3 linked regions of the Saccharomyces cerevisiae S288C genome follow. The main gene of each other region encodes a partner of the protein of the gene in region 3 in a complex. Each region holds a gene or a part of one and is shown on either strand. Other genes may lie near its edges. A codon is read from its position in the direction of its gene.

Region 1 (9,762 bases), on a different chromosome or scaffold from region 3:
AAATAAGCAGCTCAGCAGTACCGACCCAGTGCATGCACAAGTCATTGTACTGAACAACAAACTTGTCGATGAAGCTGAGGATCTTACTTGAATCTTTACTGGAAAGGTGGAAGACTTTTGGTAAGAGAACTTTTTCAACGTAGATTAAAACATGGAATACAGCAAACGCGAAAAATGGGATTAAGCTGAATGAAAATCTTGGAGTGAACAACCAGAAGTTGGCCAAAACCAAATAAAGCACGTCTTCACTCTTTAGGAGTCCAGCAACGCGTGATTTTATGGAAGCCTTAGTGGCAGCGGCATCTTGAGTCTGCAATGGTTCATTGCGGGTGAAAAATTGCTGGTAAATGATGATACCGAAAGATTCGATGACACCGAGATATGCCGATCTGTAATAAAATTCTGACATCTTGAGCAGGTAAAGAATGGAGCTGATCAATACGACGGAATGACCGGTAAACCATGCAAACTGCAAGCTCTTGGCTACTGCCATGAACCTTTGCACGAGCGACTTATCTCTGGCAGGGAGGTTTGGGGGGCCTTGGTTATTAGCGGGTCTTGATGACATTATACTGACTATTCTTGGCTAGTGTTTCTTGCTCCTTATGAATAGAGAAAAATGACTTTTTTTAGATGTAGTAAGTATGTCATTTCAGGGATGGTCTGCTTGCTCTTTAAATATTTTTTCACCCTTTTAAAATGGGGCCCTTTCGCCGTACCAAAGAAGGAGAAATATACATTACGTATGTAGGTTGCTACATTTTACACAAAACTATCAATGCCTTCTAGGCTTCTTCTTGACCAGTTGAGAGAGATCATTGAAGTCACCAAGGGGCTTTTCGAGGGCGGGGAAGCCGATGGAGGTCGTGGGCTGCGAAAGAGGCCTCTTGGAGCCGTGCTGCTGATTTTCTTGCACCTCATCAATATCGTCTTGAATCTGTGCGAGCCTTGCCTGCTGTAACTCGCTGTCCTTGGGTCTTGTAGTCATGTGTTTTTCAAGCAGAGCCTTGGCATGCTTGAATCTTTTTAGTTTGTCCTTAGCCGGCACCTGATCAACCCACCTTAAAGCATCACACACCAAAAATTCTGCTTGTATCACCTTCTCAGTTACTTGTTCTGCGGGTTTCAAGGTCTTGTAATAGCCAAGCGCCTTCAAGTAATGATGAATGGCTCTACTGAACATCTCCGCCTCCCTTTCGATGTCACCCATCAGGATATACACATCACCGATGCGCAATCTGCTGTTCTCGGTTAGAGATTGGCCATCTGCTGTAGGGCGGCCCAACAGCATCAAGGCCTGCGCCAGTAGGTCCAAAGCATTCTCATACAGATCATTTTCAAAGTAAATGTGGAAACCAGACTTGCGAAGTTGCGATACGTCTTCAATTTCATCGTCATGTTCATTCGCTGGACTGAAGTTAGCCAATTCGTGCAAAGCTAAGCGTTCTTCCTCTTTCTCCACGTTTTCTTCCTCTTCTTCGCTACCTTCGCCACTGTCCTCACTATCACCACTGTCGACATCACCAGTCAAGTCTTCCTCTTCTTGGTCGAATTGGAACATCCTAGAATTAGGAATTTCTGTTTGACCGTTCTCGTTCCCCTCTTCTCCATTGCTCACATCAGACTCAGGCTCAGACTCAGACTCAGACCCAGATCCATCGTCACCTGCCAGAAGAGCGTCCCCAAACAGATTACCAGAATTCTGTACTTCCATGTTGTATACAGCTTGTGCGAATATAGTAAACAGTTCAGGATCAGGCAACAAACCATCTTTTGGGAGAGAGTCCAAAGTTTGTTGGCAGCGTTTAGCAGCTTCTAAGAACTTTTTCTGTGCGAGTAAATCTTTTGCAATTTGAACCTGTCTTTCCATATCAATTTGAACTTTATGTCTGCTAGTTCCGTTTGCCAACACGTCTTCTGCCCTTAGTTTCATATTCTGTTACTTCTAGAAGGAGACCTCATCGCCGATGTTACCTCAAAATTGAGTAGAATGAAATAATACAAAATTGGAAAAAACGCGAAACTTCAGTGCAGTAACATATCGTTCCGACATTCTCTGAGAAGTGGTAAGATTCCACTGCCGGGGAGCTACGAGTGCTCTTGCAAGTTTTTAGACACTGCTATATCCTTCGACTACGTAACCCCATTTTTTTATTTTTCTATATAAAAACATGCACTGTATACATATAATCACGTAAGTTCAAGTCGTGCTTAAAACGGGCACAGAAAACTAACTATGAGTTGCCGTACCATACATAAACTAGGAGAAGGTAGCGCAGTTCTTTTTTTTTACCAAAGGTTTGCACAAAAAAGATGGTCTAACGTAAGTAAGTTATCAATAAAACTGTTAAAAGTAGTATAAGAATCTTGAGATAGGCTTATTATTATGACTTTTTATGGCGGAAAAGGAAGAAGAAATACTGCGCCGGGTGATGCGTGACGCGTTTTTGGAAACGATGAGAATAAACTTTGAAGTATTTTGAGAATAATATTCTATTATCGAGTTCTTTCAGCAGAAAGCAACACATAGCTACGTATAGTTCGGTAAGATAAATTTGGTCAGAAGCGTGTGAAAGACGCTGAGAAACCACGTGAGACGAAGATTCAAATCAAGGCGTGAGGAATAACGCAATACGAGCCACCGAAACAGAATAAACAAAAGAAAAGAAAGAGTAAACATGGGTACGTCAAGCGAGGTTTCTCTCGCACATCATAGAGATATCTTCCATTACTACGTCTCACTGAAGACTTTTTTCGAGGTGACTGGCGAAAATCGTGACAGGTCAAATTCGACACGAGCTCAAAAGGCCAGAGCCAAGCTGTTGAAGCTATCTTCTTCGCAATTTTACGAGCTGAGTACAGACGTGTCCGATGAGCTGCAGAGGAGAATCGGTGAAGATGCTAACCAACCAGATTACCTTTTGCCGAAGGCAAATTTCCACATGAAAAGGAACCAGGCTAGACAGAAACTGGCCAATCTATCACAAACTCGATTTAATGATTTGTTGGACGATATCCTTTTTGAGATCAAGAGAAGAGGGTTCGACAAGGATTTGGATGCTCCACGGCCCCCATTACCGCAGCCGATGAAACAAGAGGTCAGCAAAGACAGCGATGATACTGCAAGAACATCCACAAATTCTTCCTCTGTGACTCAAGTAGCTCCAAACGTCTCCGTACAACCTTCTTTGGTCATTCCTAAGATGGCATCTATCGATTGGTCTTCTGAGGAAGAAGAAGAGGAGCAAGTAAAGGAGAAGCCAAATGAACCGGAGGGAAAACAAACAAGCATGGATGAAAAGAAAGAGGCTAAACCTGCTCTAAACCCCATAGTTACAGATTCTGATCTGCCTGACTCCCAAGTGCTCGCTCGTGATATCACATCAATGGCAAGGACTCCAACAACGACGCATAAAAATTACTGGGACGTTAATGATTCTCCAATTATCAAGGTAGATAAAGATATCGATAACGAAAAGGGTCCCGAACAGTTGAAGAGCCCTGAAGTACAACGGGCTGAGAACAATAACCCTAACTCAGAGATGGAAGACAAGGTTAAAGAACTGACTGATTTAAACAGCGACTTACATTTGCAAATTGAAGATTTGAATGCTAAGTTAGCATCTTTAACCAGCGAGAAGGAAAAGGAGAAGAAGGAAGAGAAGGAGGAAAAAGAAAAGGAAAAGAACTTAAAGATTAACTACACCATTGATGAAAGTTTTCAGAAAGAATTGCTGTCATTAAACTCTCAAATCGGTGAATTATCAATTGAGAATGAAAATTTGAAGCAGAAAATTTCAGAATTCGAACTGCATCAAAAAAAGAATGACAACCATAATGATTTGAAAATCACTGACGGTTTTATTAGCAAGTACTCTTCTGCCGATGGGCTCATTCCAGCTCAATACATCTTAAACGCTAACAACTTGATAATTCAATTTACTACTAGGCTTTCCGCAGTACCCATAGGCGACTCCACGGCAATTTCCCATCAAATTGGCGAAGAGTTATTTCAAATATTATCCCAGTTATCGAACCTAATCTCCCAGCTATTACTATCGGCCGACCTATTACAGTACAAAGATCAGGTCATTTTACTGAAGGCATCATTATCGCATGCGATCACATCGATAAGATATTTCTCTGTTTACGGTCCCGTATTAATTCCGAAAATAACTGTGCAAGCTGCTGTTTCAGAGGTTTGTTTTGCCATGTGTAATCTAATTGATTCAGCGAAAATAAAATCCGATTCAAATGGTGAGAGCACCACCTCTAATGAAGGTAACCGACAGGTATTAGAATATTCTTCACCAACTGCTACCACCCCAATGACGCCAACTTTCCCCTCGACTTCTGGAATAAATATGAAGAAGGGGTTTATAAACCCAAGAAAACCAGCATCTTTCTTGAATGATGTGGAGGAAGAAGAATCTCCAGTCAAGCCATTGAAAATTACACAAAAGGCAATTAACAGTCCGATCATAAGACCGTCATCGTCTAATGGAGTTCCAACAACCTCAAGAAAACCTTCAGGAACGGGGCTATTTAGTTTAATGATTGATTCATCAATTGCTAAGAATAGCTCCCATAAAGAGGATAATGATAAATATGTCTCGCCCATAAAGGCAGTAACATCGGCCTCCAATTCTGCAAGTAGCAATATTTCCGAAATTCCTAAACTAACACTACCTCCACAAGCCAAAATCGGTACTGTTATTCCACCGTCAGAGAATCAAGTTCCCAATATTAAAATCGAGAATACAGAAGAGGATAATAAAAGGAGTGACATAACAAATGAAATCTCTGTTAAACCAACTTCTAGCATTGCTGATAAACTGAAACAATTTGAGCAAAGTTCCGAAAAGAAATCATCACCAAAGGAAAATCCTATAGCAAAAGAAGAAATGGATTCAAAACCAAAACTATCCAATAAATTTATCACTTCAATGAATGATGTGTCCACAGATGATTCAAGCTCTGATGGTAACGAAAATGACGATGCAGACGATGATGATGATTTTACCTATATGGCATTGAAACAAACAATGAAGAGAGAAGGTTCAAAAATTGAAAAAAATAATGACAGCAAACTACCTGCAAATATAGTGGAACTTGATTTACATGAGTCACCGGAGTCCGTGAAGATTGAATCTCCTGAATCGATAAAGGAAATCACGTCATCTGAAATGTCTTCAGAAATGCCAAGTAGTTCGCTGCCTAAGAGATTAGTAGAGGATGTTGAGCCTTCAGAAATGCCAGAGAAGGGCGCATCTGTAGAATCAGTCAGGAAGAAAAATTTTCAAGAACCACTTGGTAATGTCGAATCTCCGGATATGACGCAGAAGGTCAAGTCTTTGGGTATGACAGGAAAGGCTGTAGGCCCAGAATCAGATAGTAGGGTCGAATCTCCGGGCATGACAGGACAGATTAAATCTTTGAATATGGCAGGAAAAGTTGTAGGCCCAGAAGCAGATAGTAGGGTCGAATCTCCGGGCATGAAAGAGCAGATTAAGTCTTTGGGTATGACAGGAAAAATTACAGCTCAAGAATCAATCAAGTCCCCGGAAGCGGCTAGGAAGTTGGCGTCATCAGGAGAAGTTGACAAAATTGAATCTCCAAGAATGGTAAGGGAAAGCGAGTCCTTGGAGGCAGTAGGCAATACTATCCCCTCAAACATGACAGTGAAAATGGAATCCCCAAATTTAAAGGGAAATACTGTGTCTGAACCTCAAGAAATAAGGAGAGACATTGCCTCCTCAGAGCCGATAGAGAATGTTGACCCCCCAAAAGTACTAAAAAAGATTGTCTTTCCAAAGGCTGTTAATAGAACTGGATCACCAAAATCAGTCGAAAAGACTCCATCTTCAGCTACACTGAAAAAGAGCGGGCTCCCAGAACCGAATAGCCAAATTGTTTCTCCTGAATTGGCAAAAAATTCACCTCTAGCACCGATAAAGAAAAATGTCGAGTTACGAGAAACTAATAAACCACATACTGAGACTATCACTTCTGTGGAACCAACAAACAAGGATGCCAATACTTCTTGGAGAGACGCCGACTTAAACCGTACGATCAAACGAGAGGAGGAGGACGAAGATTTTGATAGAGTGAACCACAATATCCAGATCACTGGTGCATATACGAAAACTGGAAAAATTGATTATCATAAAATACCTGTTGATCGTAAAGCAAAAAGCGAAGCAGAAGTGCATACTTCCGAGGAAGATATTGATGAATCAAATAATGTTAATGGAAAAAGAGCTGATGCCCAAATACACATCACTGAAAGAAAGCATGCTTTCGTAAATCCAACTGAAAATTCACAGGTAAAAAAGACGAGCCACTCACCATTTTTAAACAGTAAACCGGTTCAATACGAGAACTCAGAGTCGAACGGCGGCATTAACAACCACATAAAGATAAAAAATACTGGAGAAACTACGGCACATGACGAGAAACATTATAGTGATGATGATGATTCTAGCTATCAATTTGTTCCCATGAAACATGAAGAACAAGAACAAGAACAAAACAGAAGTGAGGAAGAGGAAAGTGAAGATGACGATGAAGAGGAAGAAGACAGTGATTTTGATGTGGATACATTTGACATTGAAAATCCGGATAATACACTATCAGAGTTACTATTGTATTTAGAACATCAAACAATGGACGTCATATCCACGATTCAATCGCTTTTGACATCGATCAAGAAACCACAGGTGACGAAGGGTAATTTGAGGGGAGAATCGAATGCAATCAACCAAGTCATAGGTCAAATGGTGGACGCTACTAGCATATCAATGGAGCAAAGCAGAAATGCCAATTTGAAGAAACACGGTGATTGGGTGGTGCAAAGTCTAAGAGACTGTTCGCGTAGAATGACAATTTTGTGCCAATTAACTGGCGATGGAATACTAGCGAAGGAAAAGAGCGATCAAGATTATGCTGACAAAAACTTCAAACAGCGGTTGGCAGGGATTGCGTTTGATGTTGCCAAATGTACAAAGGAGCTGGTAAAAACTGTAGAAGAGGCAAGTTTGAAGGACGAAATAAATTATTTGAATTCGAAGTTGAAGTAAAGTTAGTAGTATCTAGAGGAGAAAGAAAAGGAAGACAAAGACAATCAATAGAATGTATTATGTATGACATATAATAATAATAATTATAATAATAATAATAATAGTAGTAGCAGTAATAATAATATTATTATAGTATATTAAAACAACAAAAAATTAGTAAAAATACTATAAATGTTTGAATATGAAGATATATATGTAGGAAGAATTTTTATTGAATATAGAAATTTAAAGAAATATTATTAAAAACCGGAAAATGAAAAAGAAGAGTTAAAAAAAAAAAAAACGGAACTAGTAAAAGATGTGAAAAAAAGAAGAGAAAAGTAGAACGAGAACACCCACTATCCTTGGGTATTATTATAAGTTGCAATACCATCATCCAGTATGCCCAGATTAAACCATTCATGGTCCAGAGCGTCCTTTGCGGTAATCCTTTTTGTTGGGTCGAACTCAAACATTTTCCTGAGTAGATCGATGAACCAGTACCAAAACAAGAAAGTTTCCTTATCGAGTTCATCAGTAGTTGAGGAAGAAGAGGAATGTGTTTGTCTTTTCCATGCCAATTTCGAATTTATCAAAGACCAGTTTTTCTCCGGCGGTAGATTCCAATTGATGCTTAAGCTATCGCCGTAATCCTGTTTCAAGACCTTTGAGATGTAAATATCTAAGCGATCACATGACTGCAAGACCCTTTTCATTGACTTTTCGGTGGTTATGGTATCTCCGCGTTTATTTTTTTCAGGCCATTGTAAGCTTAAAGTTTTTCTGTCGAAATGCTTTATCACCGTTGAATTTAGGTCTGATGGAGAGTTGCCCAATTTATGTTTAGATTTGTAAAACATCTTATCAATAATGTCTGTGGGGAAAGGGGTTCCATTGATTCGTTGCATCATAGCCATATGTTCTAGATTTTCATGAATGGGGTAAAGAGATTCGCCAATAACCAGTTCTACTAGGACACACGCGATGGACCAAATGTCGCAGGGGAACGACCAGCCCAAGCCAAGGACAATTTCCGGGGCTCTATAGTGACGAGTGGATATTACAGGAGGATGATATTCGTAATGGAAAATTGCGCTACCGAAATCAATGATTTTGATTTCTGGATTTTTCAAGATTTTGCGCTTCCCCTTACTGGCTTCACGGCGTCTCTTGCTTAGCGACTGTACGGTTTTCAAAGGCAATTTTTGAGCAATATGGGTTTCGTCACAAATCAGGATATTTTCTGGTTTCAAATCCGTGTGTATTATGCCCAAATCGTGCAAGAAGCAGACAGATCTGATTAGCTGTCTGGCAATGGCCTGAATATGAGAGCCGGGGAACCTGGCAATGCCGTTGGAGCACATAAAATCGTAAATGGACCTGCCGTATAGATCTGTCACCAAACAAATGTGATTTTTGTAATCGAAGCACTCCCTTAGCAAGAGGCACTGGAACTGACCTTGAGGGTCATTATTCAGGATAGTCTGTAGAATTCTTAGTTCTGTTTTGGCGGCTTCTCTATATCTATCTACAGCCCTTATCACTTTTACAGCCACGTAATTAGGTTCATACTTGTTATCGATGCATTTAAGTACTTTACCAAACGTGCCTTGGCCCAATAGGTCCTTCACAACAAAGCGGCCGCCACTGCCAAATATGTCGTTTTCCTGGTAAACGTAGTGACCGTCTTTGTCCGTTTTGAAATTTGATTTATTGGATGATGCGCTTTCTGAAGAGCCGTTTGATGTAAATTTCCGTAGTGAAGAACCAATTTGTTTCTTGAGGTTGGATTGAGGCAGGGAAGCTATTTGTGCTGGTGGGTTGGAAAAGGGAGAAGTGCTGTGAGCAATCGTGAGATTCACTGCCTTGTTGCCCTCCAGAGTCTTTGCACACGACCCCGTTAGATGCAACAGCTCATTTTCAGTTTGCGTTACTCTTGGCACGATAGCGTTGGTTTGATCAGGAACATTAAAATAGTTCGATTGGTAGCTCAGCTTCGATAGAGGCAACTGAGGCAGTGAGATGGTTCTTTGCTTCTTGAATTTCTTTGGTGTCGTGATATACGTACTATTGCTTGTAGCTGCGGTACCGCACCCTGGATTATTTGAAGTAACAATATTATTGTTGTTATTGATACTGCTGCTACTAGGCAGAATCAAAGGTGACGAAAACTGAATTGGCTGCTCTTTGATAAAAATGATGTCATCGTCAGCATCCTCGTCCACTCGACTACTGTTATGATTATTACTGTTATTGATTGTGGTGTTAATGATACGCGGCTCCTCGTCTAGTTCTATGGCATTTTCATTGTCCAAGAACAACTGGTGTTGGTGTTGCCGAGGACGGAGCGGATTGTCTGCTTGATTCAGGTCTAGACTGTTCCTCAGATTGTCTGTTAGAAAAGAATTTTGCCGAGCAAACATCTCGTCCAGCAGCTTGTTTGTGCGCGTTTCTTCGAAATTATCCAAAAAGGTCTTGTTAGAGCTTGTATTGTTAGCAGGGCCCGTAGTAGTGGAATTATTCATATTTGCTCTTGAACGTTTTCTAGTGCCAATTTGAATATTCTGTGACATAACTAAGGTACGCGGAAGATAAAGCAATAATGAAGAAGAGCAGTATGCGTGTAGATTAGTCTTTGTTGTGCTAAATCTTCGACTTGGTAAATACTATGTTTCTTTCACTCTTTTTCTGTCTCCCACTTTGT
Region 2 (11,805 bases), on a different chromosome or scaffold from region 3:
CAAAGAGATAATATATCTTCAGCAAATGAGTGAGACCAGCTCAAGTCGCAGGAGCGCGAGTAAAGACGCTGTCAAATCTTACTTCGCAGGCAAATACAATAAAGTGTTGGATTCTATACTGGAGGCAGAAGCAGCAATATCAAAATCGCCAACTGTAGCAGAAGATCTATCAGGAAGCTCCTCCAGCGGAAATTCTGAGATGAGCCATCCTTCGCTAACCGCCTCCTCCGCAACAAGCCAAGGCATTAGCAAAAAGGAACTACTCCAACAAATTGCTGGTTCATTATTCAGTACGTCCATTGAGCGCCTGAAGACTGCCCACTCATCAGAAGTATCAAGTACTCCGGAATATTCAGTAAATGATTCGTATGGAGAGCAAGAGTGCAGGGAGTGCGATGGTGTTTTCAAGTGTTCAGCGCACTTTGAGGGCGCGCCCGAATATTATGACGATGAAACCGAATCAGGGCCAGCTCTAGAACCTATGACTTCCAATAGTGAAAAAGATCCTTTTATCGATGTATTTTTGGATAAACTAATATCGAGGTTGGTCCCTGAAAAGCTACCAGAAAGAGAGCATTTTAGTAGCAAAACCACCATTGAGCATGATCTAGACACAGGAAGGGTTCCCGTGTTTTCAGCAACTACATTGGGTAGTAATTTCAAAAAATTGTCTAAGAAAATGGGCTCAATATTTGAACTCCAGGACTCCATAGTTCGACTGCTGACTTGGAGAAACCCTACCGGGACGGTGACGTCGTTAATATTATTCACTTTGATATGTTTTAATCCAATGTACTTGGTAATTTTGCCTATATTCCGCTTTGTCTATGGTATTGTAGTTCCTGGCTATGTGCGTAAACATCCTTTACAAAGGAGTATATATCCTCTGAAACGGAATCACGGATCATCATTGTTATATGATGTGTGCTATGAGGGAAAAAATGAGTACAGCTACGGTCAACAGTTTTTCTCCAAATCTTTTATGGACACTTTGGAATCAAGAAATCAAGAAATAGACGAAATATCAGAATTAGATAAAAGAACCGAAAACACAGGGGAATTGAAACAAGGAATGAAAGTACTAATTAATTTACGCGATATGCAAAACATGACCTCTGGTACCCTTCATGTTATTGAGGCAATCAATAGTTTTCTTCGTAAGTCTTCTAGTTTTCAAAACGAAGAGTGCTCCACTAAACGTTTTTTTACAGGATTTCTTTTGATTGTTTTCTTAAAAATATTATCACCATTTGTGAATTGGAGCTATGTATGTAGCATATTCGCCTGGTGCTTACTGATATATATGCATCCAAGAGCTCATCCAAAAATAATAAGTTTTTTCAAAACAGGAACAATGGGAAAAGAATACAAAAACTTGAAAAAAAGAGAACACCAGGCGCTTAACATGATATTCGATGAACAACCGGAAACTAAATTCATCGAGATTTTTGAAATATATAAAAAGGCCTTACTGCCGAACGACTGGAAGTTTTTCCGATATTCAAATAGAATTTTCGATCCTCAAGATCCGTATAGAAGAGCACAGCAATTCCCACCGGGAGTAGATTCTTTGGCTGATGTTATTCCCCCCACAGGCTGGTCATTTGATCCTAATTTTGAGTGGAAAATTGACAATGATGTGGATAGGTGGGTGGTAGAACGTGGGTTGAATCTGCCAATTACCGGCGAATTCTTATTTGATCCAATGTTCAAGAGGAGGAGACTGATACATCGTGTTATTAAGAATGCAACACCAGTAGCATAATGCACAATTGTTTTCCTTCACCTACAACCCCACCCCTCTTCTTGGGGAAATCATTGTATTACGTACTTTTTTCCTAAAGATATTAGAAAAAAAAATGTTATGTATCAATATTACTAGGTAAAATACAAAAATGCGCTTTTGAAGTATAAATAATACAGTTTTGTTTTAAGAAATGCTATATATGAATTAATAATAAATGAAACGAAAAAAAGCACTACTTGAGTTTTAATGTCGTAAAACTTGAGAAAATTCTAAAGTGTCAGAAAAAAAGTGATTTTTAAGAAGGGACACCTTCTAGCTCGGATTTAGAGATTTTATTGATAACTCTTCTCCAATTTTTTCTATTATCATAAATGGGGACCCTCAATACACTCAAGTAAACGACAATACACAGTAGGGCAAAGGAACAGACTGACGCAGGGACCATCATTGTTACGAAATTTCTCCTAGAAATGACTTTTTCATATGGGCAACTAGCATAAGGACCACCACTTACCCAACAATTGCTTACTGATATAGAGTTCAAATCTATCCATATTTGTGTGTCAGAGAAGGAGGAATTCCTCATATATGCAATAAACGATCTCTGCTCCAATGGGCTTCTAGGAATATTAAATGAATACTGATCGGGACATTTAGATCCCTGGTAACTATCAAAATCAAAGTACGTAGCCTTATTTGATCTCACCAACCATCGGAATGCCATATTTTCATATCTACAGAGCCCAATATTAGAATTGTAACAGTTACCTACTCGCCATGTTACTGTCTCATTGTTAGCAAAGTAGTACAAGAGAACGCAATTGTAAGCCTCTAAGGTCCCGGATGAGCTGCCAGATTTAGAAGTTGACTGAGTAACTGAAGGTTGGTCACTATCCCATGACCAAACGCTGCCTTCATGAATTATATCTGCTAACTGCGTCACATTATTGACGTACGCTGAATTGCTTATTATTGGTGATAAACCACACGAAATATACTCTTTGATGTCCACGGAATTGAACAGCGAATCTAAGAATCTCCAATGGATAGATGATAAATCAGTCAGACCCTCTACAGTAGAGGGGCAATCTAATGTAGAGTTCCCCTGCTCATAATGAAAGACGTCATGAGGAAAAATATATGGAGCAGTAGTTTCATTAAAAAAATCGGTCAGCTCACCTATAACCAGTCTCTTCTTTTGTTCATATAGCACAGAGCCCAGAGTGGGCCAACCGTCAATGGACGATTTTCCGTAGATGTTCCAGGTATTATTCTTTGCTCTATCACTTTGTAAATCCGTAGGCTTGTAAATGAAACTATTTCCTAAATTTTTGTCCAGTATATAAGTAGTGTTCAAAGTTTGGTTTTGGTGGCGGTATTCTGTGGAATCCAGTTCAGGAGCTGATATATTCAGCAACAGTACAATGATATTCGCATAGAGGTTGTTTTGTGTGCTGAAGATGAATGACTGTAAAGCAGTTAGAACGTCGCTAAATAACAATGTCGTATCTACCACTCTCAAATCATTATTATATTGTTCCAAGTCGAGGACAAAAGCATTTGCTTCGGAGGATAGCATAGATTTGAACAAAGTCAGTAATCTTGTATTATTACCTTCATTTACCATGCTAGTCTCATTGTTCAACAGAACCCGTCGTAGATTCAAACCAACATACGGCAGCTGGTCTATAGTTAAGTTTCCCATGACATCTCTTTGGGACCTAAAGGCCACCGTCATTTGAGGGGACATCGTCGGCCAGACAGATGCTGAAACGGTCTCATTCAGATCATCGCCAACTGTCGTAGTAGAGTCAACAGCAGTAACCCACGTTCGCAGTGAGGACCATATGATAAATAGGTATATGAGTATCCACATACCGTGTCTATAACGATGCGAATGCAAATGAACAAAAGAAAAAGGGAAGAATAGAATGGAGATAGTCTTTGAAAAAGCGAGGTTAAAAGCGACTAAAAAATACCAGCAAAAAGGTGACAAATAAAGTTAAACAGGGTGTATCTCACCGTGCAGCGAACACTTCAATGTGACTTGCTCAGCCAAAGACTCATCAACATTTATGGAAATTTCAATGATTCCCATTGTATTGCCTCTTCCCATTGTGGAAAAAAGAAAAATGCCAAAATTGCAAACCCTAATTTAAAAGGGTTACAGAAAAAAAAAAGCAGGTCTGAAATGCAGTTCGCCATGGTTAATATCTTTTCCTAATTTGGAAATATGTAAACAGGGCATCTTTCCTTTTTTTCTCCTAATGAAAATTGTAAGCAAAAGCATGAAACAATACTGCCACAAGAGGAGAATTCCTCCTTTTGAAGTCTAAAGCGCCATTTCAAACTAGTTTTTAGGAGGTCAGCCAAACGTTCATTCAGATTAGTTACTATCTTGGAATACTTCTAGTAGGAAAACAAAATAACATATACAGTAAGAACAATAGAAAACGTATTTATGTCCAACAAGGCAAGTGACCAATCAGCACGCACGGCTTCCATCCTCAAGACTGATATTACCAGAGAAAACACAATCACCAGAAGCAGCAGCAGCAACAACGACAACTACCATCACCACAATAACATCAATAATTACAATGAATCGGCGAAGACAGGAGAGGACGCCAATAAAGAGAATATACCTAATTTAGAGGAGGAGATTGCGGCCTTTCGAATTTTTAGGAAAAAAAGCACTTCAAACTTGAAGTCGTCACACACCACTAGCAATTTGGTAAAAAAGACAATGTTCAAAAGGGATCTTTTAAAACAGGATCCGAAGAGGAAACTCCAACTACAACAAAGATTTGCATCACCGACTGACAGGCTGGTATCACCATGCTCATTGAAATTGAATGAGCACAAAGTTAAGATGTTCGGAAAGAAAAAGAAAGTCAATCCTATGAAACTGAACTTTAAAGGCAACCTTGCTGCCGATTCAGAGGATGTAGAAATCGATGAAGATGAGGAGTATTTCTACTAAAAAAATCTGCCTTTCTAGTCATCCAAAAATAGCCAAATGCTACACTAAACCAATAAGCAAACGAGTACATAAAGAATAAGTAAATAATAATTCAACAATACCTGATTTTTTTTTTCTTACATTTTTTTTATTATTCATTAAAAGCAACCACCAAGCTTTCCAAATTATGAAACCTTGATAAAATGGCTTCAAAATCTTGATCTGGAATTCCGTTTTTTTTGAAGAGGTCGAAAATTATTTGCTTGATTAGAATTTCAAAATCAATAAACTCGTCCATATCCACGCTGTTCCGTGTCAAACGCTGGTTAGCTTTAAAAGCTAGAAAATATTGATTGTTTTCAACATATCGACTTCTGTCTACTGGTGTAACCTCTGTAATAAAGTAGCGGGCACCCGTTTTCGATGGTCCATTTATTAGATCTAGTGACCTCTCCAATAAGATATCCCAATAAGCTATTGAGAATTTCAAGCGCGTGAAATTCAAATTTATCATCAGAGAACGATGTGCGGGAACTCCAGGGCTTTTCTGTATTTTCTCATAGACATTATTTATCAGTAATTGCAGCTGTGTAACAATAAAATTGACGCCACTTTCTTCGTCTTGTAGCTCCTCGTTAAGCTGCGAAATTAACCTGCTCGTATTCACAGTAACACACTTAACCACAGAATGTTCTTCGACATTAGAAATCTCTTGTATTTTTTGTACATCCCAAAAGAATTCAGACATTTCTATTGAACCATTCCAGAAATGTTGTTCCAGAAGTTTATTCTCTTGAACCTTTACACTATTTCGTATTTTCTCGGTTTTAGCCGCCCACTTTTCACGCGTTAACAGGGTAAGCTATATCAGATGTGACTTTTCTTTTTCACTCATCTAATGTTGTTTTTCGCGTCACATTTTTTGCCAATAAATAAATACATCACAATGTTCTATATTGTATATTCAATGGAAGTCATTAGGTTATTGGGCAAGATTTCAAGGAGGTAGCATACTGGTAAATATACGATCCATGAGCACATCACTTCTGTTTGAGCAGCTAAATTTTTTAATTTTAGTGGCAGCAGAGGCTGAGCTTCCCATCGCTCACTCTACTAGAAAGCTTTTGATGGATAATTCATGCAATAACTGTCAAATATACGAGCTTTATAACGAAAATTTGAAAGATGTCAAGACGGATAAAGATTGGTTCATGAACAAATTCGGCCCGCAAACAGTACATTTTGTCATTAGTAATACAATCAACTTTCCTTTTTATAAGATAGTTTATTTCGATCTTTTGATCCCGGTGGTATCACACACTTGGGTCCAGGATTCGGTCAAGACGAAGAGACATTTGAGGACAAATATGTATTCACCTAACCCATTTCATTTGCTCCGAGACTGTCAAGTATATATTTCCAAAAGCTCGTTTAATAAGTGTGAATACATATTATACTCTGATTTGCTTCATTTATTAGGAGGCACTTTAGTCAATTACATCTCAAATAGAACGACGCATGTGATTGTTCAAAGTCCCCAGGACCCGATCATAGCAACGGTCAGTAAATTGACATTTGGCTCTTTTTCCTCTTCATCGACCAACAAGCACACCGAAAAGCCTTTGAGAGAGTGGAAATTTGTCTATCCAATATGGATATTATATCATTTCAAAATGGCGAAGCCCTTGAAGGGCGAGCTTGCTACTTTGTGTGAGCTTGATATGCAGGACACCAGTGAGGAACAGTTATTCGCAAAATGGGAAGAGGTTATTGGCGATAAGCAGACATCATCATCGCAGCTTACTCTTCATCCAAACAAAACTTTATTCAAAAATCACCACTTTGCTATCTCACCAGATTTAAACTTTTTCACACCTTTGTATTGGTTTTTGAAAGGATTTATCGAGGATTTGGACGGCAAAGTAACTCCGTTGAGTTTTTCTGACGATCTGAAGTCTGTTTACCAAGCTTTTCCTGATATTGACTGTTATATCGGCCACTCTGCTAACTCACCGATACTAGAAAAAACCAAAAGCATTAAACCGGAAATTCATGTTGGGAACGTAAGTTGGTTGTTTTATATGTTTGCGCTGCAAAAATTTACACCTGTATCGCAATGTAAACTTATTCACCAACCATTTCATGCGAAATTATTTACTTCTAAGGAATTAACAGTCGCGTACACTAATTATTTCGGCTCCCAAAGGTTTTATATTCAGAGGTTAGTAGAAATATTAGGAGGACTTAGCACACCTGAACTAACAAGAAAAAACACACACTTGATCACGAAGAGTACAATTGGCAAAAAATTCAAAGTCGCAAAAAAATGGTCACTGGACCCGCAAAATGCCATTATTGTGACAAATCATATGTGGTTAGAGCAATGTTATATGAATAATTCCAAGTTAAACCCCAAAGACAGTAGATTTCAAAATTTTAAATTGGATGATAACATGGGATGGAATATCGGCCAAATAGGAATGGATCATTCATCTCTCCCAACTCCAAAAAACCTATCGATGGTGACTTACGACACGCAATCCATATCAGAGAAGCCGCCTCCCACAAATGATCAAATGGATCAAATTAACGATAACACCAATGTATTATCAAAGAAAGATGGTACGCCCATTAGTAGTTTTGAGAACTCAATTGATGAAAAGATTGACAAATTACAAAAAATATCAGGAGAGGTGGCTGTAACCCATTCTGGAGATTTAGAACGGAGTTTTGTTTCCAGACCTTCAAGGGCAAGTTTTCCAGTAGTTGACAGTAAAAAATCTAATTTACAAAAGAAAGACTCAAACTCAGATATTAGTATGGAAACAGAGGTTTTCTGTGAAGGACATGAAAAAAGAGAAGAAAAGGAGTTTACGAAACCTATTACGGAGTATGATGCACCTAAGAAACAAGAAATAAGGGAACAGTCACGCAAGAAGAATGACATAGATTATAAAAAAGAAGAGGAAGAAACGGAGCTGCAAGTTCAGCTAGGACAACGAACTAAACGAGAGATCAAAACTTCGAAGAAAAATGAAAAGGAGAAAGAAACCAATGAATGTCACATTGAAGTAGATCAAATGACGAATGAAAAGCAAGGGGAGGAAAGTACAGGAAAACTGATTTCTACGGAAGACGTCACTTCTAAAAAAGATACAGATAAATTCTCGCATTTGTTTGAAGGATTATCTGATAATGATGATCACATTAATGACGAAAAACCGGCAGTTAATTCCAAATATACCACACCCAAGACGTCTCAAAATATTACGAGTGGCGTTGATACTCCAACCACCGCGCAAACGCAAGTTTTTATGCCATCAAGTGGCAATTCAAGGTTAGCAAAGACACAAGCTGCGAAGAGATTGCATACAGATATTGAATCATTAAATGAATTTCAGAAAAACTTTAAAAGGAAGAGAATTGATAGCGAGGAGATTTCATTGTCCCAAGATGTTGAAAGGTCAAATAATAACAAAGAACTGGCTACTAAAGCGGAAAAGATATTAGCTAGATTTAATGAACTACCAAATTATGACCTAAAAGCGGTTTGCACCGGTTGTTTCCATGATGGATTTAATGAGGTTGACATCGAAATATTGAACCAACTAGGTATAAAAATTTTTGACAATATTAAAGAAACGGATAAATTGAATTGTATTTTTGCTCCAAAGATTTTGAGAACCGAGAAATTTTTAAAAAGCTTAAGTTTTGAACCGTTAAAATTCGCATTGAAACCTGAATTTATTATTGATTTACTGAAACAAATTCATTCTAAAAAAGATAAACTTTCTCAAATAAATATAAACTTGTTTGATTATGAGATAAATGGAATTAATGAGAGTATAATATCAAAAACCAAACTACCTACTAAGGTGTTCGAAAGAGCGAATATTAGATGCATTAACTTAGTCAATGATATACCGGGTGGTGTAGATACAATAGGCTCTGTTCTAAAGGCACATGGTATCGAAAAAATCAACGTTTTACGTAGTAAGAAATGCACATTTGAAGACATAATCCCAAATGACGTTTCTAAGCAGGAAAACGGAGGCATTTTTAAATACGTACTTATCGTCACCAAAGCTTCACAGGTTAAAAAATTTACCAAACTGATTAATGATCGTGATAAAAACGAAACAATTTTGATTGTTGAATGGAATTGGTGTGTTGAATCAATTTTTCATCTCAATGTTGATTTTACATCAAAGAAAAATGTTTTGTATCAAAAGAAAAATAACTAAAAATGGACACTATATATTACGTCATCTGACATACGACACTGATAACAAATAAATATATAATAATTATAAAGATGCGTTGTAGAAAATCTTATGTTCAACAAACAACCCACATATGATTAACAGACCATTTTAAATGTCTAGTTAGAAACAATTATTTGGTACTGTCTTTGAATTAGATTGTTTAATAAAGCATTTCTAATATAGGATACAAAGGGTCAAATAGTACCGTGAGTAGAATCATTTATTCCACACTTTATCCGCAAACCTTTTAATTTTTCTACAATTTCATGGATAAAAACAGATTCATGGCCAGAATGCGTAAAGCAACTCTATTGTACAATTTTCCACTCTGAGATATTCACACAGCGGAGAGCCCTTCTACTCAATGCGTCAAGAACAATGTTCCAAACCTAGTGTATTTTAGGTATATTATTACGAGAGTATCCGCAATGTTAATGACGCAAAATTTAATGGCTCAAGCCAACTACTAACGTTAGTAAGAACTTTTTGATCTAATAATTAAACAGGTTACATCCATAGATTTACGTCAGAAATCTTAAATAATGTTTACATGCGAACAGTACCAAGATACATATATGTGGAGCGGATGAGAGATAAAATTGGGTTAAATGGGAAACATTACGGTATGATGCATAATTTTGAGTTTGGGCTTATTATCCTCGTGCGTATTGTATCGTCTCAATATGAGTGAAGATAAATCACCTATTACCCGAACTTTGAAGAGAACACTCTGAAAATTTGGTGAATAAGAAAGGGCTGTAGGTATTATTCGCGAAGCTTTCATTTATTGTAGTGAAAACTAGGGTGACAGAAGCTGATGGTCTGTTCTTCGATTTAGTACTGCCAATTTCAAGTTTTTCACTTCTATAGCTTTGGTATTGGTCATTGTAGAACAATTTTATAATGCATGAACACAAAGCGGAGCTACGGCTAATAACCGTTGCACTTAACGAAGCATCCACCGATTCCCCCTCTTTTAGAGCTTCTGTCAATTATTTCCATACCAGAATGGAATCTCTGAGTAGTTGGATGCACAGTACTGTGGATTATGTAGAAAATACGTACAAGCCTTCGTTCCAAGACTTCCAAAGAATAAAGGAAACACTATTTTCACAGCTGCTCCCTTCTCCTATATTACTCTCCAATGGATTTGTCAGTAACCAGCCATATACTCCCTTGCTTGTAAGAGACTTTACTAGAGATGTCAGTGACCTTTCAAATACGGTTATGAAAATAATTTTAGGTGATGAAAACTCACAATACACTGCGGCATTGTCTGCTTTGAGCTCTGATGCTATTAACCCTTACTTCAACAAGAGAAAAACTTTTGAATACTACCAAAGGAAGTATGATTCGTTTTTAACTGACTTTTTAGCGGCCACTAATGATGGCAATACTTTAATTCCACAAAATCTGCAAAATGAAACATTCAAATTAGTCGATATTAAACACAAATATATAGAAGCTTCCTTGGATTTGACTGAGGCTATTTCGTTAATGAAAGTTAATTTGGATAAATTCCTGATAGAGACAATAGACATTGTGCGCAAAAATAACGTTATTACTACCAAGGACACCAAGGACGTTATCGACATTACTCCCGAACTTACGGAAACATTAAAGGATTGGACCGATTGGATAGAAAGTAACCTTCAGACTTTACAAGCATTGTCATCCAAGCTATCTGAAGCTAAGTATGCCATTCTGAAGCTCAGCTTGGCAAGAATGAAGCCATCTCGCCTGATACAAGACTATGATTTGAAAAGCATACAAAATTTGAAGTTTAACCTTCCAAAATCGATAAGTAACGGAAATAATTCTGAGGAAAAAGGGCTATCGGGTTGGTTGTACATGAAAACTACAGTTGGTCATGATCCGAAAAGAGTTGTGTGGGTAAGAAGATGGTGCTTTCTACAGAACAATGTTTTTGGAGTTTTTTCACTGTCGCCTAGCAAAACTTATGTCGAAGAAACCGATAAATTCGGTATATTATGGATAACTGTAGAATATCTGCCCAAAGAACCTAGAAATTTTTGTTTCAAATTGAGGATTCAAAATCCAAATTGCAAAACAGAAGAAGAAAATACATACATAGATATCATCCTGCAAGCTGAAAGTATTGACGAGTTAAAATCGTGGATAAACACCTTAACTTCTCACAAAAGAATCGCATTGTCGATAAAGGAGGAAAACGATCCTCGTTATCAATTGGCGAGAAAAAAAATTGAACCTCAATTTTTCGAGTTTGCTTCAAGTAGCTCAACGTCAACAGATAAATTATTAACTTCATTTTCCAGTAAAACTTTGACATTGGTAGAAGAGCTAAAAAAAAATTATATGTCAGAGGATGATATATACTCTATCATTGATAATAAGGCATACCATCTGAGAGTAATTTCTACACCGATAGCCACGCAGTTGACTCATTTGGCTTTATTCTCTACATTTCTATCTGTATCAAATTATTATCCGTGTGCTACCCAGGCAAACACCTGGGGTACGGCAAATTGGAATGATTTGTCCTATTTAGTCAATCCACTCAAAGGAAGTTCAGTACACAAGCCAGCCACAGTATCGAATTCTTCCAGGTTTTCCGTTAGCTACCCCGACTATTATCCATACAGCCTGAAAGTCGATGATATACAATTTAGATCAATTTTCTTTTCAGTGAATCATGATTTTTTACAAGTCCCAAAAGAACTTGTTCTTTTAAGATATTCATCGGTGTGGTGCCCGAACAATAAACAAAAATTTGCATCTATGGCTTTTGTTACCCTTAACCACATTTATGTCTATTTAAATATTTCAGGCTTTTCATATTTGAGAAGAAT
Region 3 (8,681 bases):
TGGAGCAGATTCAACCTGAAAAAGGTCATTAGTTCCAATTTTTATATCTTTTTTTTGTGTAACTTTATGTGTGGAAGGAAGAGCAGTGTTTTGTGATTTATTTAAAGGGTTTTGAATAGTTTTCTTAGCCTCATTTGATGATTCTTTCGTATGCAAAATATCTCGCACAATTTCCTTAGGCTCTAATTTCTTTTGGATGTTTATTGTACCGTTTGAGATATTTGGAGTTCGCCCTTCATTAGGCTTATGCTTTTTCATAGGATTCGGTATTTCTCCTAGCTGGGGCCTCTTTGATGGTGTAACATTCAGGGTATTGTTTCTCGAATCAATGTGGGATTCTCCTTGTACTTTTTGAAGCACTTTTCGACCATCTATTCGTACACTCTGTATCTGCTTTGTGGTTTCTTCGGTTACTTTGTTTACGTGAGCTTCAGTGCTCATGATTTCAGGCGGCCTCTTACCAATTTTCTTGTTTTCACCATTTTTATTCTTTGCAGAAGTGTTCATATCATTTTTCTTTTCTGTGCTTCGAGAAGTAGAGTTATAGTTGTTTTCTTGGCCTTCATATTCAACAAGAAAAGCAAGTTTTGTAGTTTCTTCATCTCTAGTGGAAAAATTTCGGCTGTTTCTACGCCCTTGAGGTCTGTCAGCTGGACTTTTCGACAAATGAGGTGACTTTAAGATTTCCATCCTCTTGAGGTCGGCGTCTTCCTTCATTTTTTGTTCAGATGTTATAGGCTGATGCTTCGAAGGTGCAAGTGTTTTCTCATCGTGCAGTGTTATTTTATCTTGATCAATGGCGACTTTTTTTGGAGATGGAACGATCTTCTTTGATGTTAGAGTTTCTGTCGTGGCTGACGTCCCATTGGTATCTAAGGCCGATGCGACCGTACTATTTGCACTATTCTCATCTAATTTTACTGGTTTTTCTTGATTTATTTCTAAACGCTCGTTAGTAGATTCCTCATTTATTCCATACACTTCTGTTTGTATGGCATTCGGTTTTGCAATTCCAGGACTTCTTGCCTTGCTCTCCTCCGGTGATATACCACTGTCACCGGCACTAACCTTCGGAACTGATAGTGAATCAGAATGGGCAAAGTTTTTACCTATATTCAACTTTTCTTCTTTTTTTTCTTCTACGGTATCTTTCCTGATAGATTTGTCCTTGGTCAAAGAAATCACAGAGGCGCCGATGTCTGCTGATCCTTTTTTAAGTGGCTTCTCTAAAACAGGCTGTTCGTTTGCCAAGTTTATGCCTAGAATCTCTTTAGAGTAATCCCTTATTTTCTCTTCACTTAGTAAGCTTTTTACTCCTGATAAAAATGAGTTATTGGTTTGTGATGTTGATATCGGTACTATGGTACGTACAGGCTTTGAATTGAAGGTAGAAGTTTGTTGCTGCGCATGCCGGGAAAATGCTGTTTGTTCAAAACTTGCTAGAGACCTGCTAGCATCATGTGAAGGATTGTTTGATTCAATTCTTCCTGCTGACGTTTTGGACCGAAGAAGGGAGAGTAGTTTGCTGTTGCTTATTTTTTCCAGATTTGAGTGAGGAAAAGAATTATAGTTATTTTTTTTCAGTGGTGAGGATTTTGGCTGTTGCAACTGTTTATGGGAAGTCGGTTTTACATCACTTGGTTGATGAGGTGAGGTATGAATTGCGGTTGACGGCCTTGAATAGTTTTTGCTTTTGGCAAACGTGAATAATGGAATTTTAGGTGTCTTCACTTCATTGGATTTTTCTTCTCTTTCAGGAATTTTATCATTCGGGGTTACTGGTTTTTTAGTAAACTTGGGAGTGCTGGACCTATTGGGTGTCTTATTGTCATTTGGCATTGGCTGTTTTCTTCGCTTTTTTGGTATTGTGGGTTGAAGCTTCCTTTTTTTTTTTATCCCCTGCAAAACGATGTCCAGTTAGAACTCTGACTGAATTATAAAACCTGAAAAGCGCTTATTTCGTTATAGGTTTATAAAAAGCTTCACTATTACTGTTATACCGTTTTTGTTTATGTGATGCGCTTTTGTTCATCTATTTAGTAATATGATTTGCGTTCGTTCTCAACGATAAAAATATTGACTAAGTACTTAATGGCAGTGCACATGTTTAAGGACGTTATAGCCAGTTACAAACACTTATGTTATTATTTCATTTATAGTATACTGCGGATATATGTACTCACATACAAAAATTTATTATATTTTCATTAATTTAAAAAAAAGAAAAGATATTTAGAAGACATTGCGCAAGGTCATTAATCCTTACCTAGCTTGTTCAAGATGTCAGCCCAAACAGTAGCAGGAGGTTGGGAAGCATCAACACCAGCCCAGATACCGGTCTTTTTGTAAAAGTCAACAATTGGTTCGGTTTGAGCATGGTAAGCAGCTAATCTCTTCTTCAAGGCGTCTGCATTGTCATCAGATCTTTGAACTAAAGCTTCACCGGTGACGTCATCCTTCATGTCTTCCTTTGGTGGGTTAAAGATCTTGTGGTAGGATCTGCCAGAGGCTGGGTGAATTAATCTACCGGTAATTCTGGCAACCAACAATTCATCATCAACCTTCAATTCGATGGCTTTTTCCAAAGGAGTTCCTTGTTCTTTCAACATTTGGTCCAATTTTTCAGCCTGAGGAATGGTTCTTGGGAAACCGTCCAAGATGAACCCATTCTTACAAGCTGGATTGTTGGTCAATTCATCCTTGATCATGTTAACCATAATGTCATCAGAGACTAAACCACCTTGGTCCATAATTTTCTTTGCTTCCAAACCTAATTGAGTGCCCTTTGCGATTTGAGATCTCAACATGTCACCAGTGGCCAAGTGAGCGGCATGGAAACGCTCTTGCAAATTTGGAGCTTGAGTACCTTTACCGGCACCAGGTGGGCCAATTAGGACCATTCTAATGGATTCTGAGCTAGACATTACTGTTATATTTGATGCTGTGTGGTGACTTTACCAGAGAAACGTTAATGTTTCTTTATTAAAGCTCTCGTTTCTGATAAACCAGGTAATCCATTTCAGAAATTTATGCGTATATATATATACAAATATGCGTAATAAAACTAGCCAGAGTGAAAAAGTCGAAAATCAAAAAAAAATGGGCGAATAAGGACAGAAGCCGCGGGCTGCTGCGGACAGTTCTCCGTGACAGGATCGCGCAATCGTGAGCTTTTTTCCTTTGGTTGTGAAAATTTCGTCACACTATCAAAGTGAACAAAGCACAGAATGTGTTTGCTACTCAATCATGTTCAAGTAAGCAACAGTGCCCAATGAACCTAAACAGAGCAACAGAGAAAACAGGAAGACACAACAAAAAATTTATATCATGCATGACATATGTTACCGTTAATTATATACCCAATAAATTATATATAGAAAAATAAAAAGGAAAAACAGAAAGGTCTAATAGACACTTAATATAGTTACAATGGAGAAGCAGTTTAGTTCCTTCCGCCTTCTTTAAAATACCAGAACCGATCTTATAATTCTTGAGAAGCCTTGGTAGCCTTGGCAGACTTCTTTGGCAACAAGTTTTGATGGATGTTTGGCAAAACACCACCTTGGGCAATGGTAACGTTACCCAATAGCTTGTTCAATTCGTCATCATTTCTGATAGCCAATTGCAAATGTCTTGGAATAATTCTGGTCTTCTTGTTATCCCTAGCAGCATTACCAGCTAATTCTAAAATTTCAGCGGCCAAATATTCCAAGACAGCAGTCAAGTAGACTGGAGCACCAGAACCAATTCTTTGGGCGTAGTTACCTCTTCTTAGCAATCTGTGCACTCTACCGACTGGGAATGTCAAACCAGCCTTAGCAGATCTAGATTGAGAAGCTTTAGCAGCTGAACCAGCTTTACCACCTTTACCACCGGACATTTTATATTTTATATGTATGAAATTTGTTTGTTTTGAAGTTGTTTATTCACTGAGAAATAACCAAATCCGTATGATGATGTAGTATCAAGAAGAGAAGTACAGATTGGAAGTAAATAGATGATGGTTCAACAAGACCAGAAAATCTACAAGCTGATTAGGAGTCTTATTTATATATTTTTTAGGTCAAGACTTATTGCTAGTATTTACGATCCACTGGCTGGCTTCGTGAACGGGGAAGGGGGTGAGAAAAGATTTTGAAATCAACAAAGTGGGCAATAACAAATAACAGCATGAGAAACCACATATCTCTACGGGCGTTTCTTCAACAACGACGAGTTAACTATTGTGCTCTTTTTTTGAGCCACCAAATACACTCCATTCCAATAGCTTCGCACAGTGAGGCGAAAATTTTGGAACAGCGCTAATGAATTATTTGTGAGCTCGGCGAGTTCAAATTTGAAGAAAACGCGGTTGGGTCGTTAACTATGGTTAGACGCTCAATGTCGCCCGAAAGGGAAGGCTGTTCTCACTTTTTCGCGCGTTGCACCCTTTCTTCCGCGAAAAAATGAGAACGATGGATTTAAAATCAAGAGAATTGGCCTTAGTAGTGGCAAATACTACCTTGGTTGGTTATCTTGTAACGATTGGTAAGAAAGGGGCATCTCTGTTTTCTTGATGTATATAAACAACATGATTTGATCATCTCAGATGGTCAGATTTATTAAAGACGTTTCTCTTTCCGCATTTTCGATTATTGTTATATTAAATTTATCCTATATAGACAAGTCAAACCACAAATAAACCATACACACATACAATGTCTGCTAAAGCCGAAAAGAAACCAGCCTCCAAAGCCCCAGCTGAAAAGAAACCAGCCGCTAAAAAGACTTCCACTTCCACTGATGGTAAGAAGAGAAGCAAGGCTAGAAAGGAAACATACTCTTCTTACATTTACAAAGTTTTGAAGCAAACTCACCCTGACACTGGTATTTCCCAAAAGTCCATGTCTATCTTGAACTCTTTCGTTAACGATATCTTTGAAAGAATCGCTACTGAAGCTTCTAAATTGGCTGCGTATAACAAGAAGTCTACTATCTCTGCTAGAGAAATTCAAACCGCTGTTAGATTGATCTTACCAGGTGAATTGGCTAAGCATGCTGTCTCTGAAGGTACTAGAGCTGTTACCAAGTACTCTTCCTCTACTCAAGCATAATGAAATCACTTCCTTTGGTTATAATTAATATTATTATTTATATGGGTATATAAAAATTAAAGTAAAGTAAAAAAAATTGTATAATAGTTTAATAATTTTAATGATTATAAGATATTTACTCGGTTGTAAAATTGTGTTCTCGAAATTACAAATGGTCTCATAGAGGGAATGCGCTTATGCGGCAAGGCAGTTTACTTGTAAGACTAATTATAAGAAGAATAAATAGTGTTGCTTATTAATGACTCAGAAAAGTTTCCACATGATATTTATTAGCTTTCGAAACTTCAGAGCATTGGCTCGTGTGAACAATACTAGATTTTTCCTCAAATTTTAATTCGTATTGCAGTTGCTAACTATTACAATTTTTGTTTATTTTATGCCTTGGAGATTGAACCCTCTGTTGTGATTAACTTCCTGTAAAAACTCCACGCAAGAAACAAAATATAAAAATAAAAAAAAAATTGGTAAAAAAATGAACAATAGAATACGCACGTATAAAAAAATACTAAAAATAAAATAAATGCCACCGACTCTATAAGTACACAGCAATAGTAATTAAAAAAAGACAGATGTCGCTGACTGGATCGTCAGCTGCACTTCAGTATTCCTTGATCCTCTCTCAAGTGGATCCATCCATTTCGGCCCCTAAATTTTTCTCCATCTCATCATACGATATTCCAAGTTGATCTTCGCTGACTAAGTAGGTTTTCCTACTATTCTATGACAATTCAAGTAGTAAAGTGCTTCTATTTTTTCGCAAACGATCATATTTTCCTTTAAAAGACGATAATGATTCTTCTGGAATATCAAATAATCACTCGCCTATGAGCTCAATATGGCCATTGGATGCCTTCTCTACTTCGAGTCCGCCTATGTTTAGAAGGTCGGCTATCATAGCATCATTATCAAATGTTGCATCTCCTTTTTGATTTTCCCGTGAACTTACTGAGCTTGAGCATGAGCTCAAACTTTCAGGAGTATTTATGTCATCACTCAATGGGTACAGCGATTTTGTGCACAACCCATCGATAACACTAAACGGTTTATCACTTAAAGACCAAACGTATAACTTTGGTACTTTTATTCCAATTCTTTTAGAATCCAATATTTCGCAAGCTTTATGGCCAATTTTCTTCCTTTTTCGATCTGGGGTTGGTAAGCTCTCGTCTTCATCTGTTGATTCATCATCTCTATAAGTGACCTCATCAATGTTGTAATCACTATCATAACTATCATTCCTTGGGCCTTCCGAAGAACATGTGAGGTTGGATAAGTCTTCTCTTGAACTATTATAGAGGCAATCAATATCCTTTTTCCTTGTATTAATAGCGACGTTGTCTAGACTAAAGGTGCGATCAGGTCCATCGAGCTCTACTTCGTCGATTTTATGCACATGCTCGTTGAGATGAAAAAAGCTAGACACATCTAATGTAGAAAAATGATTGCATTCACTGAAATGACCATCATCCAAGTTAAGGGGCGTACGGTCCTCAAAACAACTGCTACTATATTTTTTTTCGAGTGGTCTTGGATTTTTCACTCCCTTATCCGTACCATCCATTGGTGTCAATATCACGGCCTCATCAAAGTCGACATCTGATTCCGTTTCTGGATATTGGTGTGTAATACCTCTATTATTATTTATCGATACTGTTTCGCAACTATCGATGTGGTTGTCTACTAAAATATCAACACCAATGTCCTCTTCATCTTCATTAGTTGTTGAAGCCGAAGGACTGTGGTATTGTCGGTGAGATTCACTTTTACTTGTTGGCAAACCGAGCAGTACTACAGCCGAATTCGCCCCGAAGTTTACATCGCGCTTATTACTGACATATGTAGTATTGCCAGCTGACGTGAGCTGGTCATTAAATATATTATCTGCTTCTGTCTTAGAGCTGCTGCCAAGAGACGTCTTTTCCTCTACCTCGTTGGTGTTTTCCTCCCTAGAATATTTATAAGAATTTTTTTTTTTCTGTCTATTACTACTTTCTGGTTTTAATCGTTTAGCACTAATATAGCTACTCTCAAAATCCGAGGCCTTACTTATAGAGGGGTCCCAAAGAGCATCAAAGCTGCCATCATTATTGGATGAAAGGACGACAGTTGAAGAGGACGACGAAAAGGAAGCAGCTGTACCTGTCTCTTTTGGCTTTTTTTTATTTGGACTGTGTGGCTTGCGCCGCACGGTACTGTTAACAGGCGCACTAAGCAACATTTTAAAAGACTTTTTTATTCCGTACTATACCGCTGCTGTTCAGTTAAATGGTAACCTTCTTATAACTTTCTAGTGACCGCAATAATTATATTCCTTCTTTTAAGAAATTTCTCGATACAATTATAGAGGGCTTTTGACTCATTAATCTTACTGGAACCATTGACAGATTAGTCCGAAGAAGAAAACTCTAAAAAATCCGCTAGTAAGATTCAACAAAAAAAAAGTCTGCTTGCTATGAAAGTCTGATTTCTAGAGTACACACCTCTATAGCTACACTCTCAACTGATTGCTTCACTTTTTGAAAGAGGAAGAAGGACAAGAACTGGATTCACAAACTCAACTACATCTCGGTTTATCCGTTTAGACCAAGGTTTTATATAAGGCGAGGTAGAGTTCGGAAAAGGAAACTTTCATCGACTTCCCTTAATGATTATTGATTCCCCTTTGCTTTCTCTCCCCAACATTTGAAATATGATTTCTTTTTATTTCGAAAATGCCATTCTTCTCGTTCCCGTGATGTTTTCAATATGCATGCGGCAAGGGGAACATGATATTTCCGTTCTATGGCTTACGCAAGTAAGAAGCATGGCGCAATGATGCAATAGTCCATGGGGGAAAGTGTGGCCTCAAAATGAAAAAAAAAAGTGATGATAAATTAGTTATTAGGTAGTGATTATGTAAAAAAATTCGATTACACATTAATTATTAGGTAAAGTTGGTAGAAGAAACAGGAGAGAAAAAGAAGAGAAAAAAAAGGACAAAAAACGAATTTCATGTGGAAGTGTTCACGCTTTTGTTCAACTAATGAAGGTGCTCTCAACGATAGAAATACCTTTCTCGTGCTTATATTTAGAAGGTTGACAGTATTGATAAATGAAAGGTTTGATGCTCACAATTTTCTGAGCTAACGACCTGACCATGCTTGGTAACTCACCGAGAACGTCGTATCGATTAACCAGCCTCAAGTCGTGTTCTGAAAATCCACCGGGGAACTTGATAGAGGTTGGATATACCCAGCCGCTTTCCTTATCTGTACTCGTAGCACGGAACCTAACATGACGTTTTGGGCTCTGCACAGAAGAACCAATAGATATCAGTTTGTTTTTTTCAGTAATTGACCAAACTGTTACGGTGACGTTATCATGATCTCGAGGAGTAGTGAATTCAATTGCTAAAACAGAGTAGTTTTCGCTCTGAAAACATAGGAAATTCCATTTACTGGCTGCTTTATTCGGCAAAAGACCTTGAACAGCGTCCAGATAAACGACAGGAACATCAGTTAATGAAATATTTTTATTTTGAAAGTCCCCACTATTGAGTTTTTTATCGTAGGAAATATTACCATTACATTTACCTCTGGGCACAAAAAC

Evidence for each region.
Region 1: the proteins of HTA1 (region 3) and HIF1 are in contact, whole or in part, in a crystal structure (PDB 5BT1), measured with the Saccharomyces cerevisiae proteins. Residues at the interface, in NP_010511.3 of Saccharomyces cerevisiae: Gln17 (codon at 3,832), Ser18 (codon at 3,829), Arg19 (codon at 3,826), Gly30 (codon at 3,793), Arg31 (codon at 3,790), Arg34 (codon at 3,781), Arg38 (codon at 3,769), Arg79 (codon at 3,646), Ile81 (codon at 3,640), Pro82 (codon at 3,637), Arg83 (codon at 3,634), Gln86 (codon at 3,625); in NP_013078.1 of Saccharomyces cerevisiae: Ser79 (codon at 1,699), Gly80 (codon at 1,696), Asn81 (codon at 1,693), Leu82 (codon at 1,690), Phe83 (codon at 1,687), Tyr203 (codon at 1,327), Glu248 (codon at 1,192), Glu250 (codon at 1,186), Arg291 (codon at 1,063), Asp335 (codon at 931), Asp336 (codon at 928), Asp338 (codon at 922), Glu339 (codon at 919), Glu342 (codon at 910), Asn343 (codon at 907), Gln345 (codon at 901).
Region 2: the proteins of HTA1 (region 3) and RTT107 are in contact, whole or in part, in a crystal structure (PDB 3T7K), measured with the Saccharomyces cerevisiae proteins. Residues at the interface, in NP_010511.3 of Saccharomyces cerevisiae: Ala128 (codon at 3,499), Ser129 (codon at 3,496), Gln130 (codon at 3,493), Glu131 (codon at 3,490), Leu132 (codon at 3,487); in NP_012024.1 of Saccharomyces cerevisiae: Cys841 (codon at 8,261), Thr842 (codon at 8,264), Gly843 (codon at 8,267), His846 (codon at 8,276), Leu883 (codon at 8,387), Arg884 (codon at 8,390), Thr885 (codon at 8,393), Glu886 (codon at 8,396), Lys887 (codon at 8,399), Leu889 (codon at 8,405), Thr970 (codon at 8,648), Ile971 (codon at 8,651), Val974 (codon at 8,660), Trp1043 (codon at 8,867).

The regions. Positions count from the first base shown.
Region 1 is NC_001144.5:98,269-108,030, forward strand, and holds HIF1 (Hif1p), read right to left. Parts: upstream 1,934-9,762; coding exon 776-1,933; downstream 1-775. Other genes in the region: nucleoporin POM33, read right to left, coding at 1-568; SPA2 (Spa2p), read left to right, coding at 2,679-7,079; serine/threonine protein kinase KNS1, read right to left, coding at 7,418-9,631. UniProt on the Saccharomyces cerevisiae protein: Histone H3 and H4 specific chaperone component of the nuclear histone acetyltransferase B (HAT-B) complex. Involved in chromatin assembly and telomere silencing.
Region 2 is NC_001140.6:397,226-409,030, forward strand, and holds RTT107 (Rtt107p), read left to right. Parts: upstream 1-5,740; coding exon 5,741-8,953; downstream 8,954-11,805. Other genes in the region: PEX28 (Pex28p), read left to right, coding at 26-1,765; MTC6 (Mtc6p), read right to left, coding at 2,043-3,623; SPO12 (Spo12p), read left to right, coding at 4,209-4,730; SPO16 (Spo16p), read right to left, coding at 4,861-5,457; LAM1 (Lam1p), read left to right, coding at 9,878-11,805. UniProt on the Saccharomyces cerevisiae protein: Required for resumption of chromosome replication after DNA damage, specifically in S phase. Is recruited to chromatin in the presence of RTT109 and RTT101 in response to stalled replication forks and acts as a scaffold during DNA repair.
Region 3 is NC_001136.10:910,729-919,409, reverse strand, and holds HTA1 (histone H2A), read right to left. Parts: upstream 3,881-8,681; coding exon 3,482-3,880; downstream 1-3,481. Other genes in the region: chromatin-silencing protein SIR4, read right to left, coding at 1-1,839; adenylate kinase ADK1, read right to left, coding at 2,256-2,924; HTB1 (histone H2B), read left to right, coding at 4,698-5,093; CRF1 (Crf1p), read right to left, coding at 5,908-7,311; YDR222W (uncharacterized protein), read right to left, coding at 8,109-8,681. UniProt on the Saccharomyces cerevisiae protein: Core component of nucleosome which plays a central role in DNA double strand break (DSB) repair. Nucleosomes wrap and compact DNA into chromatin, limiting DNA accessibility to the cellular machineries which require DNA as a template.